Linked DNA regions of Xenopus tropicalis. The protein of the gene in region 1 interacts with the protein of each later gene in a biochemical or structural test. Links are inferred from orthologs where the notes say so. Each region holds a gene or a part of one and is shown in the gene's direction. Other genes may lie near its edges. The genes, in order: gabarap, nek9, retreg1 and nbr1.

What was found.
Region 2: the proteins of gabarap (region 1) and nek9 form a complex in vitro, tested with the Homo sapiens proteins (2 studies listed by BioGRID and IntAct, with this or other methods). The link is inferred for Xenopus tropicalis from reciprocal best matches to the Homo sapiens genes GABARAP and NEK9.
Region 3: the proteins of gabarap (region 1) and retreg1 are reported together in a solved structure, tested with the Homo sapiens proteins (2 studies listed by BioGRID, with this or other methods). The link is inferred for Xenopus tropicalis from reciprocal best matches to the Homo sapiens genes GABARAP and RETREG1.
Region 4: the proteins of gabarap (region 1) and nbr1 form a complex in vitro, tested with the Homo sapiens proteins (3 studies listed by BioGRID and IntAct). The link is inferred for Xenopus tropicalis from reciprocal best matches to the Homo sapiens genes GABARAP and NBR1.

The regions. Positions count from the first base shown.
Region 1 is NC_030679.2:153,336,115-153,340,309, reverse strand, and holds the start of gabarap (GABA(A) receptor-associated protein like 1), read left to right. Parts: upstream 1-1,374; 5' UTR 1,375-1,474; coding exon 1,475-1,564; intron 1,565-4,195. UniProt on the Homo sapiens protein: Ubiquitin-like modifier that plays a role in intracellular transport of GABA(A) receptors and its interaction with the cytoskeleton.
Region 2 is NC_030684.2:82,279,484-82,283,110, reverse strand, and holds part of nek9 (serine/threonine-protein kinase Nek9), read left to right. Parts: intron 1-1,095; coding exon 1,096-1,160; intron 1,161-1,461; coding exon 1,462-1,512; intron 1,513-2,573; coding exon 2,574-2,766; intron 2,767-2,998; coding exon 2,999-3,143; intron 3,144-3,627.
Region 3 is NC_030682.2:79,279,330-79,283,709, forward strand, and holds the start of retreg1 (reticulophagy receptor FAM134B), read left to right. Parts: upstream 1-1,476; 5' UTR 1,477-1,593; coding exon 1,594-1,628; intron 1,629-3,624; exon of another isoform or gene 3,625-4,380. UniProt on the Homo sapiens protein: Endoplasmic reticulum (ER)-anchored autophagy regulator which mediates ER delivery into lysosomes through sequestration into autophagosomes.
Region 4 is NC_030686.2:19,645,718-19,648,794, forward strand, and holds the end of nbr1 (next to BRCA1 gene 1 protein), read left to right. Parts: intron 1-461; coding exon 462-540; intron 541-869; coding exon 870-975; intron 976-1,763; coding exon 1,764-1,937; 3' UTR 1,938-2,553; downstream 2,554-3,077. UniProt on the Homo sapiens protein: Ubiquitin-binding autophagy adapter that participates in different processes including host defense or intracellular homeostasis.

The DNA.
Region 1 (4,195 bases):
ACTCTCACCCTCACACACACACTCACTCTCACCCTCACTCTCACACACACACTCACTCTCACCCTCACTCTCACACACACACTCACTCTCACACTCACTCTCACATACACACACACACTCACACTCACTCTCACATACACACACACTCACTCTCACCCTCACTCTCACATACACACTCACTCTCACAAACACACACACTCACTCTCACCCTCACTCTCACACACACACTCACTCTCACCCTCACTCTCACACACACACACTCACTCTCACACACACACTCACTCTCACACACTCACTCTCACCCTCACTCTCTCACTCACACTCACTCTCACACTCACACTCTCACTCACACTCACTCTCTCTCACACTCACTCTCTCACTCACACTCTCTCACTCACGCTCTCTCACTCACACTCACACTCTCACACTCACGCTCTCTCACTCACACTCACACTCTCACACTCACTCTCACACTCACTCTCTCTCTCACACTCACTCTCACACTCACACACACACTCACTCTCACACTCTCTCACTCACACTCACGCTCTCTCACTCACACTCACACTCACTCTCACACTCTCACTAACACTCACTCTCTCTCTCTCTCTCTCTCACACACTCTCTCACTCACACTCACGCTCTCTCACTCACACTCACTCTCACACTCACTCTCTCTCTCACACTCACACTCACTCTCACACTCACACTCACACTCACTCTCACACTCACTCTCTCTCTCACACTCACTCTCACACTCACACTCACTCTCACACTCACTCTCACTCTCACACTCACACTCACTCTCACTCTCACACTCACACTCACTCTCACACTCACTCTCTCTCTCACTCTCACACTCACTCTCACTCTCACACTCACTCTCACACTCACTCTCACACTCACTCTCTCTCTCACACTCACTCTCACTCTCACTCTCACTCTCACTCTCACACTCACTCTCACACTCACACTCACTCTCTCTCTCACACTCACTCTCACACTCACTCTCACTCTCACACTCACACTCACACTCACTCTCACACTCACTCTCACACTCACTCTCACACTCACTCTCTCTCTCACACTCACTCTCACACTCACTCTCACTCTCACACTCACTCTCACACTCACTCTCACACTCACACACACACACTCCCACTCACGCTCTCTCACTCACACTCTCACACTCACTCTCACACTCACTTCTCTCTCACACAAACAGAATGAAACAGACTGAAAGGTTTCCGTTCCAATCGCACAAGTGAGTGAAGGGGCGGGAGGGGCGGTTGCTATGGTTACAGAGCTCCGGGCCCGATATGACGCAGCGGCTGACGTTGGGAAGGCGGAGCCACGATGCGGAAGTGGGGGGCGGGGCTCGGCCTGTTTATTTCCTGTCAGTGTCAGTCCTGAAAACAACAGGAACCGAAACTCCAATCGCAGTCTCGAACCGGTACCGCCCGGAGAGTCCGCCATGAAGTTCGTGTATAAAGAGGAACATCCCTTCGAGAAGCGCCGCTCCGAGGGGGAGAAAATCCGCAAGAAATACCCCGACCGAGTCCCGGTGTGTGACATACTGCCCCCGGGGCAACTACTGGGGCAGGAACCTTCCTCTGGGGCAGGAACCTTCCTCTGGGGCAGGAACATGGGGAGAGACTGGGGGTATAACATGGGGAGAGAGAGAGACTGGGGGTATAACATGGGGAGAGAGAGAGACTGGGGGTATAACATGGGGAGAGAGAGAGACTGGGGGTATAACATGGGAGAGACTGGGGGTATAACATGGGGGGAGAGAGAGACTGGGGTATAACATGGGGAGAGAGAGAGAGACTGGGGTATAACATGGGGAGAGACTGGGGGTATAACATGGGGAGAGAGAGACTGGGGGTATAACATTGGGGAGAGAGAGACTGGGGGTAATAACATGGGGAGAGAGAGACTGGGGGTAATAACATGGGGAGAGAGAGACTGGGGGTATAACATGGGGAGAGAGAGAGACTGGGGGTATAACGTGGGGAGAGACTGGGGGGTAAACATGGGGAGAGACTGGGGGTATAACATGGGGAGAGAGAGACTGGGCGGGTTATAACATGGGGAGAGAGAGACTGGGGGTATAACATGAGAGAGAGAGACTGGGGGTATAACATGGGGAGAGACTGGGGGTATAACATGGGGAGAGAGAGACTGGGGGTATAACATGGGGAGAGAGAGAGACTGGGGGTAACATGGGGAGAGACTGGGGTATAACATGGGAGAGAGAGAGAGACTGGGGTATAACGTGGGGAGAGAGAGAGACTGGGGGTATAACATGGGGAGAGAGAGAGACTGGGTATAACATGGGGAGAGAGAGAGAGACTGGGGTATAACGTGGGGAGAGAGAGAGACTGGGGTATAACGTGGGGAGAGAGAGAGACTGGGGGTATACATGGGGAGAGAGAGACTGGGGGTATAACATGGGGAGAGAGAGAGACTGGGGGTATAACATGGGGAGAGAGAGAGACTGGGGGTATATACGTGGGGAGAGAGAAGACTGGGGGTATAACATGGGGAGAGAGAGAGACTGGGGTATAACATGGGGAGAGAGAGAGACTGGGGGTATAACATGGGGAGAGAGAGACTTGGGGGTATAACATGGGGAGAGAGAGAGACTGGGGGTATAACATGGGGAGAGAGAGAGACTGGGGGTATAACATGGGGAGAGAGAGAGACTGGGGTATAACATGGGGAGTGACTGGGGTTACATGGGGAGTGACTGGGGGTATAACATGGGGAGTGACTGGGGGTTATACATGGGGAGAGAGAGAGACTGGGGGTATAACATGGGGAGAGAGAGAGACTGGGGGTATAACATGGGGAGAGACTGGGGTATAACATGGGGAGTGACTGGGGGTATAACATGGGGAGAGAGAGAGACTGGGGGTATAACATGGGAAGAGAGAGACTGGGGGTATAACATGGGGGAAGAGAGAGACTGGGGTATAACATGGGGAGAGAGAGAGACTGGGGGTATAACATGGGGAAGAGAGAGACTGGGGTAGACTGGGGGTATAACATGGGGAGAGAGAGAGACTGGGGGTATAACATGGGGAGAGAGAGAGACTGGGGGTATAACATGGGGAGAGAGAGAGACTGGGGGTATAACATGGGGAGAGAGAGAGACTGGGGGTATAACATGGGGAGAGAGAGAGACTGGGGGTATAACATGGGGAGAGAGAGAGACTGGGGTATAACATGGGGAGAGAGAGAGACTGGGGGTATAACATGGGGAGAGAGAGAGACTGGGGGTATAAACATGGGGAGTGACTGGGGGTATAACATGGGGAGTGACTGGGGGTATAACATGGGGAGAGAGAGAGACTGGGGGTATAACATGGGGAGAGACTGGGGGTATAACATGGGGAGTGACTGGGGTATAACATGGGGAGAGAGAGAGACTGGGGGTATAACATGGGGAGAGGAGAGAGACTGGGGGTATAACATGGGGAGAGAGAGAGACTGGGGGTATAACATGGGAGAGAGAGAGACTGGGGTTATACATGGGGAGAGAGAGAGACTGGGGGTATAACATGGGGAGAGAGAGACTGGGGGTTTAACATGGGGGAGAGAGAGACTGGGGGTATAACATGGGGAGAGAGAGAGACTGGGGGTATAACATGGGGAGAGACTGGGGTATAACATGGGGAGAGAGAGAGACTGGGGGTATAACATGGGAGTGACTGGGGGTATAACATGGGGAGAGAGATGGGGGGTATAACATGGGGAGTGACTGGGTATAACATGGGGAGTGACTGGGGGTATAACATGGGGAGAGAGAGGACTGGGGGTATAACATGGGAGAGAGAGAGACTGGGGGTATAACATGGGGAGAGAGAGACTGGGGGTATAACATGGGGAGAGAGAGAGACTGGGGGTATAACATGGGGAGAGAGAGAGACTGGGGGTATAACATGGGGAGAGAGAGAGACTGGGGGTATACATGGGAAGGAGAGAGACTGGGGGTTTTAAACATGGGAGAGAGAGAGACCTGGGGGTATAACATGGGAGAGAGAGAGACTGGGGGTATAACTCGGGAGAGAGAGACTGGGGGTAAATAACATGGGGAGAGACTGGGGTATAACAAGGGGAGAGACTGGGGGGTATAACATGGGGAGAGGAGGACTGGGGTATAACATGGGGAGAGAGAGAGACTGGGGGT
Region 2 (3,627 bases), on another chromosome or scaffold:
GGTAGAAGGATGTTTGTGGTAGCTATAAAGTGGTTCTGTCTAAACTTTTACATGTACTGTAACCAGGGCTGCCATCAGAAATCATGGGGGCCCTTACAACATAATTCAGGTTGAAAACCAAAACACACATTGATGGTCAGGGCCCTGTGATCAGTAATCAGAGCTAGTGTAGTGAGGGGGGGGGGGGGGGGGGGGGGGGTTAAAGGTTTTTATAAAAATGGTTTGAATTTTTTAATGTATATTTGGTGAGATGTGAGAACAGCTCACCACAAAAAACTTCACCCACTTTCTGTTGATGCCTATGGGATTTTTAGAAGTGTATTTATCAAATAGTGAAATCCAACTTTCATCCACTGATAAATACACTTCTAAAAATCCCACAGGAATAAATAGAGTAGGTGAATTTTTCAGTTGTGAGCTCTGATTTCACATTTTGATAAATATGACCCTTAGTTTTGGACTTTAAACCTCCCACATCTCTTATAACTTAAGTGGGGGCCCTGCAGTGCTGCACTGGTGTGTTTTGGGTCTTAGGGGGGGGCCAGCTAATCCATGTAAATGCAGCATGGCCAGGCCCCCCTTATGACCCAAAACCCACCAGGCTTAGGACGATTGCCACGCCTGTCCATCCCTGCTGGTGACTCTGAGTGGAACTATGCTTCGTGGACTGAATTAAGTGATGAAGACATACAAAACAATCTGTCGACCCATGAAAAAAAAACAATAAAACGTCAATTAAACCCAATAGGATTGTTTTGCCTCCAATAAGGAGTAATTATACCTTAGTTGGGATCAATTACAATGTACTGGTTTATTTTTACAGAGTAAAAGGAAATACATTTTAAAAATCTGAATTATTTGATTAAAATGCAGTCTATGGGAGACAGGCTGGTCATAATTCGGAGCTTTCTGGATAACTGGCTTCCATATAACTGATCCCATACCTGTAGTAGTTCTTAATAAATACTTGATGGTACAAATGTGGGATGACTTCCATATCTAGAGGGGTACATATTCCACACTTGTATTGTGTATTGTGTATGGTAAATGTGTTAAAAGGTATGTATTTTGATTTTTAGCTGTTTAATATTATAGGACCCAGAGAAGCGCCCAACAGCAGATGAGATTCTGAAAATGCCAATATTGAGCTGGAGGAGAAGGTACTTATAGATCAAGTGTGTTTTGTTTTTAATCAATAGTCTCAATATCTTTTATTTACCATGCATTTTATTTTACCATGCGTTCCCAGTATGTGTAATCTAAATTATAATTCACCTTAATATAACATTCTTTCATTCTTTAAGGTTAGCAAATAGCATTTTCAGCATCTTCAGTTATGAAACTGAGGCTGGGAATCTGCAGTATAGCATTATTTCCAAGCTCTCAGCATCCAGAACAGTAAATACATGTATTGTGTTTGTTTTAAGGGTTCACTAAACTTAAAATATTCTTTTTAAATAGAGACATGGAGGAAAAAGTATCTATGCTGAATCGATCCAATAAGAAGCCCAGGTAATAATCAAAACATGCTTATAGTGAGTGAGAATGTATTGGTGCTTGATGAAGGGATGGTATAAAGCCTGGAACCTGGGTTGTGGCATGAATAAATTACTCTTTCTTCAGTAATTTGGAGTATTATTTCTGTGATTGTCCACCCTTTACAGAGGGGTTTACGGGTTGCACATGATGCATGAAAAAGTGACATTATGGGGCAGATTTATCAAAATGTGAGTTTAGAGCTTAATACATAAAAACTCATCCATGTTCTATTCATTCCTATGGGATATTTAGAAGTGTATCAATGAGTGAAAGTTCGAGTTCGCCATTTGATAAACATGCTTCTAAAAATCCCATAGGAATGAATAGAATATGGGGGAGTTTTTATGTATTAAGCTTTGAACTCACATTTTGATAAATCTGCCCCTATTTATACAGTAGTACTGTGCCATTTTGATGGCTACCTCTATTGACAAGCGTATGGTTACTATTTTATATTGATAATTCTGTTGGTCAATGATTAATGCCTTTTGTGAGTAGGAAAGTTGAACCAGCAAACTCAGTGTAAACAATACAAAATACTCTATTAATTGACTTTCACCTCAATATTAAAAAATAGTTTTAGGACAGGCAATAGTAAGGTTGTATCATATACATTGCACATTTTGGTGAACTGTTTTACTTACGTGTTTGTATATCTGTTAAACGTTTTGCTTTATTTTGTGTGCCATCCAATCATCCAGTTTTATTTTTATCACTGCCTGATATGTAACATTTCTGGGAATGTACCCATTCACTGCATTTTGTAGTCACATGACTGCCCTGTTTCTTATCTCCTTGGCACCATTTTCACTTTTGGCATCCTATTCTTTCTTTCTTTGAATGTTTTCTCTTCACCTTTTTGTTTTGATTGTTGTGGTGTGTATTGTAAGTTCTTAACACTCCCTTCCTGTAATCATTTAAATCTCTAAACTGTTTTTAAGACACCTTCACCCCACTCTGTGACCATTCCATTTTTTTTTTATTTTGTGTTTTGTCACCTTTTGGGTCTTTCTTCCATTCATAATGCTTCCCAGGACGGGTACAGTTACAGAAGCCCCTATCGCTGTCGTTACATCAAGGAGCAGTGAGGTGTATGTATGGGGAGGTGGAAAGACCACTCCTCAGAAGCTGGATGTTTTCAAGGGTGGATGCCGAGCACGGCAGGTCTGTGCTGGAGATGCTCATTTTGCTGTAGTGACCGTGGAAAAAGAGCTTTACACTTGGGTGGTGAGTGCTAAATGAAGGAAGAAATTCTTGGTACTGGGAACTTCATGGGAGGTACAGGTGGTGTACGGTGGTGGGTCTTTGTTAGGATTGCAAAGGAAGGGGACTTCCAGGGACTTCACTGAAGAGGAAGGTACCTGATATGGGTTTTGTATGCTGTCATTTCAGCTACATTAATTCTAATATACGATATACACATTTAAACACATTTTTTTTAAATTTTTTTAAAATTCAGAACATGCAGGGAGGATCAAAACTACATGGACAGTTGGGACACGGAGACCGTGCCTCCTACCGTCAACCAAAACATGTGGAAAAACTTCAAGGAAAGTCAGTACAGCAAGTCAGTTGTGGAAGTGATTTCACCGTATGCATTTCAGGTCAGAGTGAAAAGCTAAATAAGTACAAAAGATTAAAATGTATATACTTTTAGATATAGTTATCCAATACCTGGAAAAAATTATGCCTCTGCACTGACATTATAGTGCAGGTCTGGAATCATTAATATTAATATATGATAATTAAATGTAATTTTTTTGGGGGGGGTGGAGTTGGTTTTAGGCTAAAAGCAAATTGTCTTTTTCAGCTATACATAGCAAAGGTTAGGCTGAAAATTGCAAAAGCATTAGGGATGCACCAAATGCAGGATTCTGTTTGGGATTCGGCCAAGATCTGGCCTTTTTCAGCAGGATTCAGATTTGGGCAAATCCACACTCCTGGCCGAATCCTTAAAATTATGGGACTTTTTGTCACATAAACACGCAAGTTGAAAATTTTTCACGTGGTTCTCTTTGGCCTTTCCTTATCTTAATTTGAATATGCATATGATTCGGTATTCGCACAAATCTTTCACAAAGGATTTGG
Region 3 (4,380 bases), on another chromosome or scaffold:
TGTGCCTATTCTGTATTCCCCAGAATCTGTTCTTTCCAAAAATGTACAATTTTCTGGGATTAACCTTCTGTTAGTGGAATTTTGGCCTTGAAATCCAAAGTATGCAGTTTTTTTGGAGCAGTGCTTTGGGAATTTGGTAGTGTACTGCTGGGAGTTTTTGACCTATACAAGTGAGAAATCTCCATAAAACTATATATATTTGGTATTGGCACGTTCAGGAGACATGGGACTTTCCAAATCAGTTGTATATTCGTGCATAAAATAATTTTTGTTTCTAGTATGTGTGATTATATTATGGAAAATTTGTTTTTTTTTGCATTTTTAGACATTTAGAAGCCTATATCTTGTTACAGAATTGGAATTACACAAAAATTCTACCATATTTTGAAAGCTTAGGTTGTTCTGAAAAAAACGATATATTGTTTTCCTTGGTAAACTAAAAGTCCCCCCGAGGAAAGGCCCCTAAAGTGAAACAGTGCAAAATGTTCAAAAACTGTCTGGCAATACAAGTTCCGCTTTGACCAAAATGGCTGGCAGTAAAAGGGTTAAGAAGGATAATAATAAACTTGAGAGAGTGAAGAGATGTACACCTAAAGTGGCAAAAGGGAGGATTAAACTATGAGTCACGGGAAAATATTTTTTTTTTTGTGTTGGGGGGGGGGGGGGGGTAAGCAGGTAAAAGTGTTATGTGTATATGTGTGCACTAGGGCTTGTTTGAAAGGGTTGAGCTTGATGGGCTTTTTTTAACAGTGGCATAACTATCTATATACCCCGCGGTCACAGCAGGGCCCAGCCCCCCTGCCCAGCCTCTTTTCTACCTTAAAAATGGCTGCATGGTGTCGGATGAGAGGTGCGGTGCAAGTAAGCCGGGGGGGGGGAATATTTGAGGGAGCCTGGAGCGACCAAGTTACACTACTGCTAACTATGTATACAGTATTACAGAATTCTGTAGTCTACACTGCAGTATAGATAGGAGAAGCCACAAGTTTTGTAACTGTGGTTATATTTCTACCAATACACATGAGATTCTTTATATACAGGAAATGTCAACATGCAATATTTTTGTATCCTTGGTCTGTTGGCAGCTTTTATCATCCCTTGTATGGACATCTTAACATTAGTAAATGGGGCCTACAGTTTTTTTTAATAAAAACAAAAGTTTTGCAAAGCAATCAGCTGAATTTTAGAACTTAATATTCTTTAAGGAAATAGCTTATTGCTATTCTTCATTTGTTTTTGTTTATGAACTAGGATACAGTACTCCTGAAACCAGGAGTTGTTATTATGAAAGTGTTTGAAATGGGTGTTGTCTAATCACTCCACAAGATAATGTGCCAGCAGGCTGGGACTGAAGCACAGCCCATGAGATCCATGGCTCGCTCAGCTCTATTTATAACAGCCAATCATTGCTCTCATGCTGTCTGCTCCATTCAAGACAAGCTGACACACACAGGAAGAACATAAACACAGACTCGGAGCTCACATAGCTTGCTCAGACTGTCTCAGCTCTCCTTACAGTCGCGGCCAAGTTCAAAAGACACATCTGTACTTGGATTACTTTTTTGGCACAAACAATTTTTGGAGAAGGCAGAAATGCCTGAAGGAGAAGATTCAGATCCACATGGAAGGTACTGGAAAGTAAATGTGCCTTGCTAGGAAAGTGTTCTTTTGGGTTGATTTCAGTGATATACACATTTGTAAAATTTGTCATGAATTACTGTTTGCATTTGTTGCTTCTGTTTGTATAACATTGTGTTCATTTGCCCTCTGTTGTTCATTGCTAATTAAACTGTTATAACTGATATAAATAGCATAAATATCTTTCTCTTTTCATAGTTTTTGTCCCAATAACATACTCATTTTCCTAAGAAGTTGTTAGTATATTTGTACAAAGGCCCCCCTGTGGTGGTCATCAGCATTCCCTCACAGGGTGCATTCCAGTCAGTCAGCAGTGGCATGAGAGTCAGTCACATTCAGCTCTGACCGCCAAAGGGCATCTGTTGGACTAACAATAGAATTTAGTTTTTTTTTTGTGTACAGTGATTAATTTTTTGCATTGTCTTAAGGTTAGATGTTATATTAATACTCTCTTCAGTATGCCCAGTATGATGATATCTAGAAAATAAATAGGAATTAAGCCATTAATATTCTTCTATTCAGGCATTCTCCTATTTATATTACAATGTCTCATTCAAAGCACTGCATGGTTGCTAGGGTAAATTGGAGCACAGCAACCAGATAGCTGCTAAATGCCATACTGATAAGCTGTTAAACACAATCTGATTAATTCAAAAACAAAAAAAAATTTAAAAACTGCAAATAGCCTCAGAACAATACTGCCAACAAAATGCAAAAAGTTAATTTAAAGGCAAACTACCCCTTTTAAGTAATATTTCATGACAATGAATATGTTGCTTTTGGTGGCCTGTTGTAAGTTTCCTATTAAAAAGTAACAACCAGGACTTCAGCAAATTCTGCTTTCAATAGCAATTACATTTACACCTAACTTTTAAAGCGCTAATAATTTTTAATAATTGAAATTGGAATTATGTTTTCTTTTATTAGGCAAAACAATTATTTTTGGGGTTGACATGTCCTTTAAGGTTATGGCCTAAAAATGCACCTTGGAAGATAGATGCAACCTTATGTCATGTTTGCTGTGATTCTGGTCTATAATTGAAAGCAATCTTCAACTGTTCCTGGTACTTTGTTCTTAGGAAAAGTCTCTGCAACTAAATGACCCATAAGGCATTAGACTATGTATGGAAATGTCAGGGCCTTATGGTCTTTACAGGGTTGAAGTCAGGATCAGGGAGGAAGCTGAGTTCAGAAAATTATACGCCGTATCCATGGGGTAAAGCAAGTCTCTTAGTCAAATTCAGGCTAAAAATTGTGGCAAGTAAGAACAAAGCTGAAAGAAACGTGTAGATTGAGCCAAAACAGTAATTTAATGCACCAAGGAACTTTACAATGAAAGATATATATTGAGGCATTGAATCCGGGTCTTTGGTGTCCTTTCGGTTTGAATTTTCACGCCAAAGTGGCATGTGATGACATCATGCAGCAACAGTGTGACAATGTGACATTGTGGCCATGGGCACTGCCTTCTTTGGAAGGAGGCAGAGTGCTTCTAACCAGAGAACTCCTGACAGGGCATCCCCTGGCACACTCCTAGTTAGCATGATTTAGAATCTTGCTTCCTTATTATTGCTTATTTGTGCCCCTAGACCAGCTCATATCATCATCATCATTTTTTTTTATAATACAGAAGTCATGAATCTCTCTCCTATTTAATGAATGGTGCTTAGTGGTGTAATTTATCACATGACACACTGAAACTTGTGCATTAGAATATGTAATGTACTCTCTGTTGTAAAATATGAGGAGTCAGTTCGAGAGCTGCTCCTGCCATGAGGCAAGGTAAGAACTTTCACCCAGCTATCAGCACAAGAGCCACAATATAAATTTTTGCACTCTACATGGGCTTGGCACAATTTACATCCTTCTTTTAGCCCTTAATATATTAGCCTGCATGTATTTATGCGCACATTCAGCTTCATGCCTAAATTATATGCTATGTATATGCCTGCTATATAAATAATGGTATATACATAAAGAACAATAAATACTAATATGGGACAGTTCAGGGTTGAATTTTCAAATTCATCTTATCATTTATCATTTAAGGAATTTTTTAACATGTCCAAAAAGGTTCCCAAATGAATCTATTTAATATAAAGTATTGTTTTCTAAAGGCAATATCTAATAGCACCAGTAATTTTTTCTCAGGGGGAACAGCAATTGATTGAAAACCTCAATTTAGGAGATGTGGGGTTATGAAGATTTGAGCAAGTATTGTAGGGTTATGAACACTTGAGCAAGTATTGTGAGTATTAGTGTAATGCAAGTCATTCAGTAGGATGCTGACAGGTTGCCCTGTGCCATGCTCTGGATTTTAAATCCTGCCCAAGATACATCTGGAGCAGATACTCCAGATGCAAGTTCTTTAGTAAGTCTAGTGAGGATCATCATAGCTAAACCAGAATATAACCCAGGGGTGGGCAAACTACGGCCGCGGGCCACATCCGGCCCCTTGGCCTTTTTAATCCGGCCCGCCGCCGACGCCAAGTCTCATCACGCGAGACTGGAATTAAAGAGATGAAGGGGGTGTAACGCTGGCCTGGCCCTGCCCGCCCTGGCCCGGTCCGGCACGGGGGTAAGTAAATGTGGCCCGTGAGCCAAAAAGTTTGCCCACCCCTGATATAACCTATGGTACACATGGCATTTGATGTTATTATTTTTCTGTTACTGAGAATGCCACAGGTTGCTTGAACCCACCTCTTATTGCAGTGAATAGGAAGTTAATGGGAAATTGCTTAT
Region 4 (3,077 bases), on another chromosome or scaffold:
ATTCGTACAGAATCCGAAAAAATCGCAAAACATACGAAAAAGTCGCAAAATGTTCGTTTTCAAGTCGGAACTTTTCCAATTCGGGTCGGATTCGTGGGTTAGTAAATCAGCCCCATAGAGTTAAAATTGATGGAGATTTTTTTTTTCTACATTAATTATCGTACTTAATTAATGTGACTAGTGTTTCCAGGTTATCATTCTGAGCATGCTCATTTAGGAGTTGCAGTTCAATACAGATCATGAATGAATTCTTCTTTATGTTCTTATGTCCAACATATATCTTAACAATCAGTAGTGACAGTCTAAATAGTGACTGTCTATTGCATCTTATAGCAGCCTCTCTGGCATTTGTGAGAATCCTAGCCTCATTCCAACTGATCCCATGTAAAATTAATATAGGTTTACTCACTGATTTATACTCTTGTTTAATACTCTTCACTTATTTGATGGTTTTCTGAAAGATTCTTCAGATGAAAACACATCAGCCTTAGAGCCTACAGCTTGTGCCCCAGCACACAATCAACAGACTGATCACGCAAGGTAACCCAACAGTTAATCATGGTTATATGGAAGATTACATAGATCATGTATCCAAGATAATATTGGTGATTTCCCATGGATGCACTTCAGTCTTGTAACTGTATTAAATTCATTGTGTATATAAACTTTCACATTGCTAAAATTATGTGGGTCTATCGGCCTTCTACTTTGATTACTGAATTTTTTACTTGAGCCAATGTCATGCCAACATGTACCAGTTTGTATTCTTGGTTTGCCAGCTTCCTTGCAATCTCATTTCTGTTTTTTGAGATAATAAAGGAAACAAAATAGTTCTGTTATGTTTAATGCATGTTTTTGATTTCCAACAGACAACTCACCAGTGTCAGCATTGCCGGGGGTCTTGTGAAAGGTGCCCTATCTGTTGCTGCTTCTGCTTATAAGGCTTTATTCTCTGGACAACCAGAGATAAATCTGGTGAGTGCAGCAACTCTGTCAACTTTAACCCTTCATTCAAGTGTTCATAGAAAGGCTTGCATGCATTAGTTAGTGGCTAAATGGTTAGTGTTATGGGCAAAGTATCATAGAGCTTTTGTTTTCTATGTGAATGTTGTTAAAAAAAACAGAATGGAGAATATGAGCTCCATGTATTTGAAGAAAGTAGGTCCCGCCTTAAGATGCCAAAAGTTAACAAATGATCTCCTGAAGTCAGATACATTAGATAGCTTTCAGAAAAGCTAGTGGTGCTCTGTACCTGCCCATTATCAATATATATAAGACATTAAGACATTTTGTGTAATGAGCTACTAAGGAAATGCCTTCCCCTTTAAACAAAACAGGTATTGCATGAGGGCAGAGGAACATTTGATTTTGTATGTATGTGCGGTCACAGCCTCATTGCCTAATGTTTTAAATTGTAGTGGTGAGCACAACTTTCTCTTTTTGCTATAGCTTTAAGAAAGGGTTGGATGCCGTTTTATAAAATTATAAAGTACAAAGTTAACGAAATTAGCACTTCAAGTACAGAGTTGATACAGGGAGTGGTGCAGTTGCCATTGTGGATTCAGGAAGGAATTTTTCCCTTTCCGAGGCAAATTGGAGAAGCTTTAGAAGGTGTTTTTAACCTTCCTCTGATTCAACTAGTTAGTCAGGGTTCCCAAAAATATTGAATTGGTGGAGGCATTTCCAAAATCTTTTATTATTACCTATACTATGTTAAATATTCTATTTAATGCCAACAACTCTGCTTGCTTCTCCATCTCCAGCCAAGAAATTCAGAAGAACAAGACAGAGCCATGATGGCTATCCTCCTCGAGATGGGATTCTGTGACCGCCAACTCAACCAACGCCTGCTACACAAGCACAGCTACAACCTCATGGACGTAGTGACCGAACTGATCCAGATCAACGACAACGATTGGTACTCTGCTCGTTACTGAACTAGAGAAGAGAGCTTAGTTCTGCCCTTAGACATTTTGAAGTAGAAAAAAAGCAGATGTATAATGCGTTGCTAGCAAGACACATCTTTTTATTTGGCCCTATAATTTCCATTATATTTCCATTACTTTAGTTAAGATTCTCTGGAAGAACAATATTTGCATCAAAAAGAGTTTCCAGCTCTATAGATAAATGTGCAATGAGCAAGAAGTGCCCCTTTGGTGTTGGCTGACACGGGCTTGGTGTTATCAGACTGAATGGCTGATACTGGAATAAGGAGTATCAATACACAGTATGTAAATCAAGTCCTGAACTTATTAGGAAGTAATTCTATTTCCTGAAGCAACATTGATTTAAAGGCTCAGAATATGAATTTTCTCAGTATACTAAGAGCTGCAAAGATTTAATTTAAGGGCAGTAAGTGGGAAAATCCTGGCAAGATCACAGAGATTTTCATGAAGCGGAAAAATCTGCTTTTGAAAAAAACAATGTTATTTGTGAATGAATGTTTCTGTAAATAGATGTGGGGAAAATGATAAATAACTAGATGAATACTGTAAACAGGGGCCACTTTTGGTGCACTCACCAGCAGATGAATAAAATATCTTTCACTCTAAAGATTTTGCCTCACTTGTTTCTTCTGGGTTCTGTGTGTGTGTGTGACTATGTCTATCATGGGTCTTAAACAATTTAAAGACTATTTTTGGGTAAATGATCTTCTTCCTTTCTCTTTCATGCAACAGTGCACACAAACAGCTGCTGCCAGTCCGTTTATATGGAGCCTTAGTGGAACAGCATGCAAAGGTTTCAAAGGCTGTTGCCCTGTTCCTAATTAAACTGCCTATTATAGGGCTCATTTACAGTGCCCCATTGTGAAAATAGCAACAGGCATCTGTGGCTCCCTTCACTAATTCTACTGGGGTTCATTTGATTAGAGCTCTGCCCCTATATGTTTAAATAATTTTTAACAGACCTAAGTCATGGTGATCTAATATACAGAAAGATATCTTATCTGGAAACCCTCAGGTCACAAGCATTTTGAATATATCCAATACACGTATTATATATATATATATACCCTAGTTTTTTCAGATAAAGTATGACTAGTTTGTGCAACATATTGTGTCCTTAGTATCACTTAT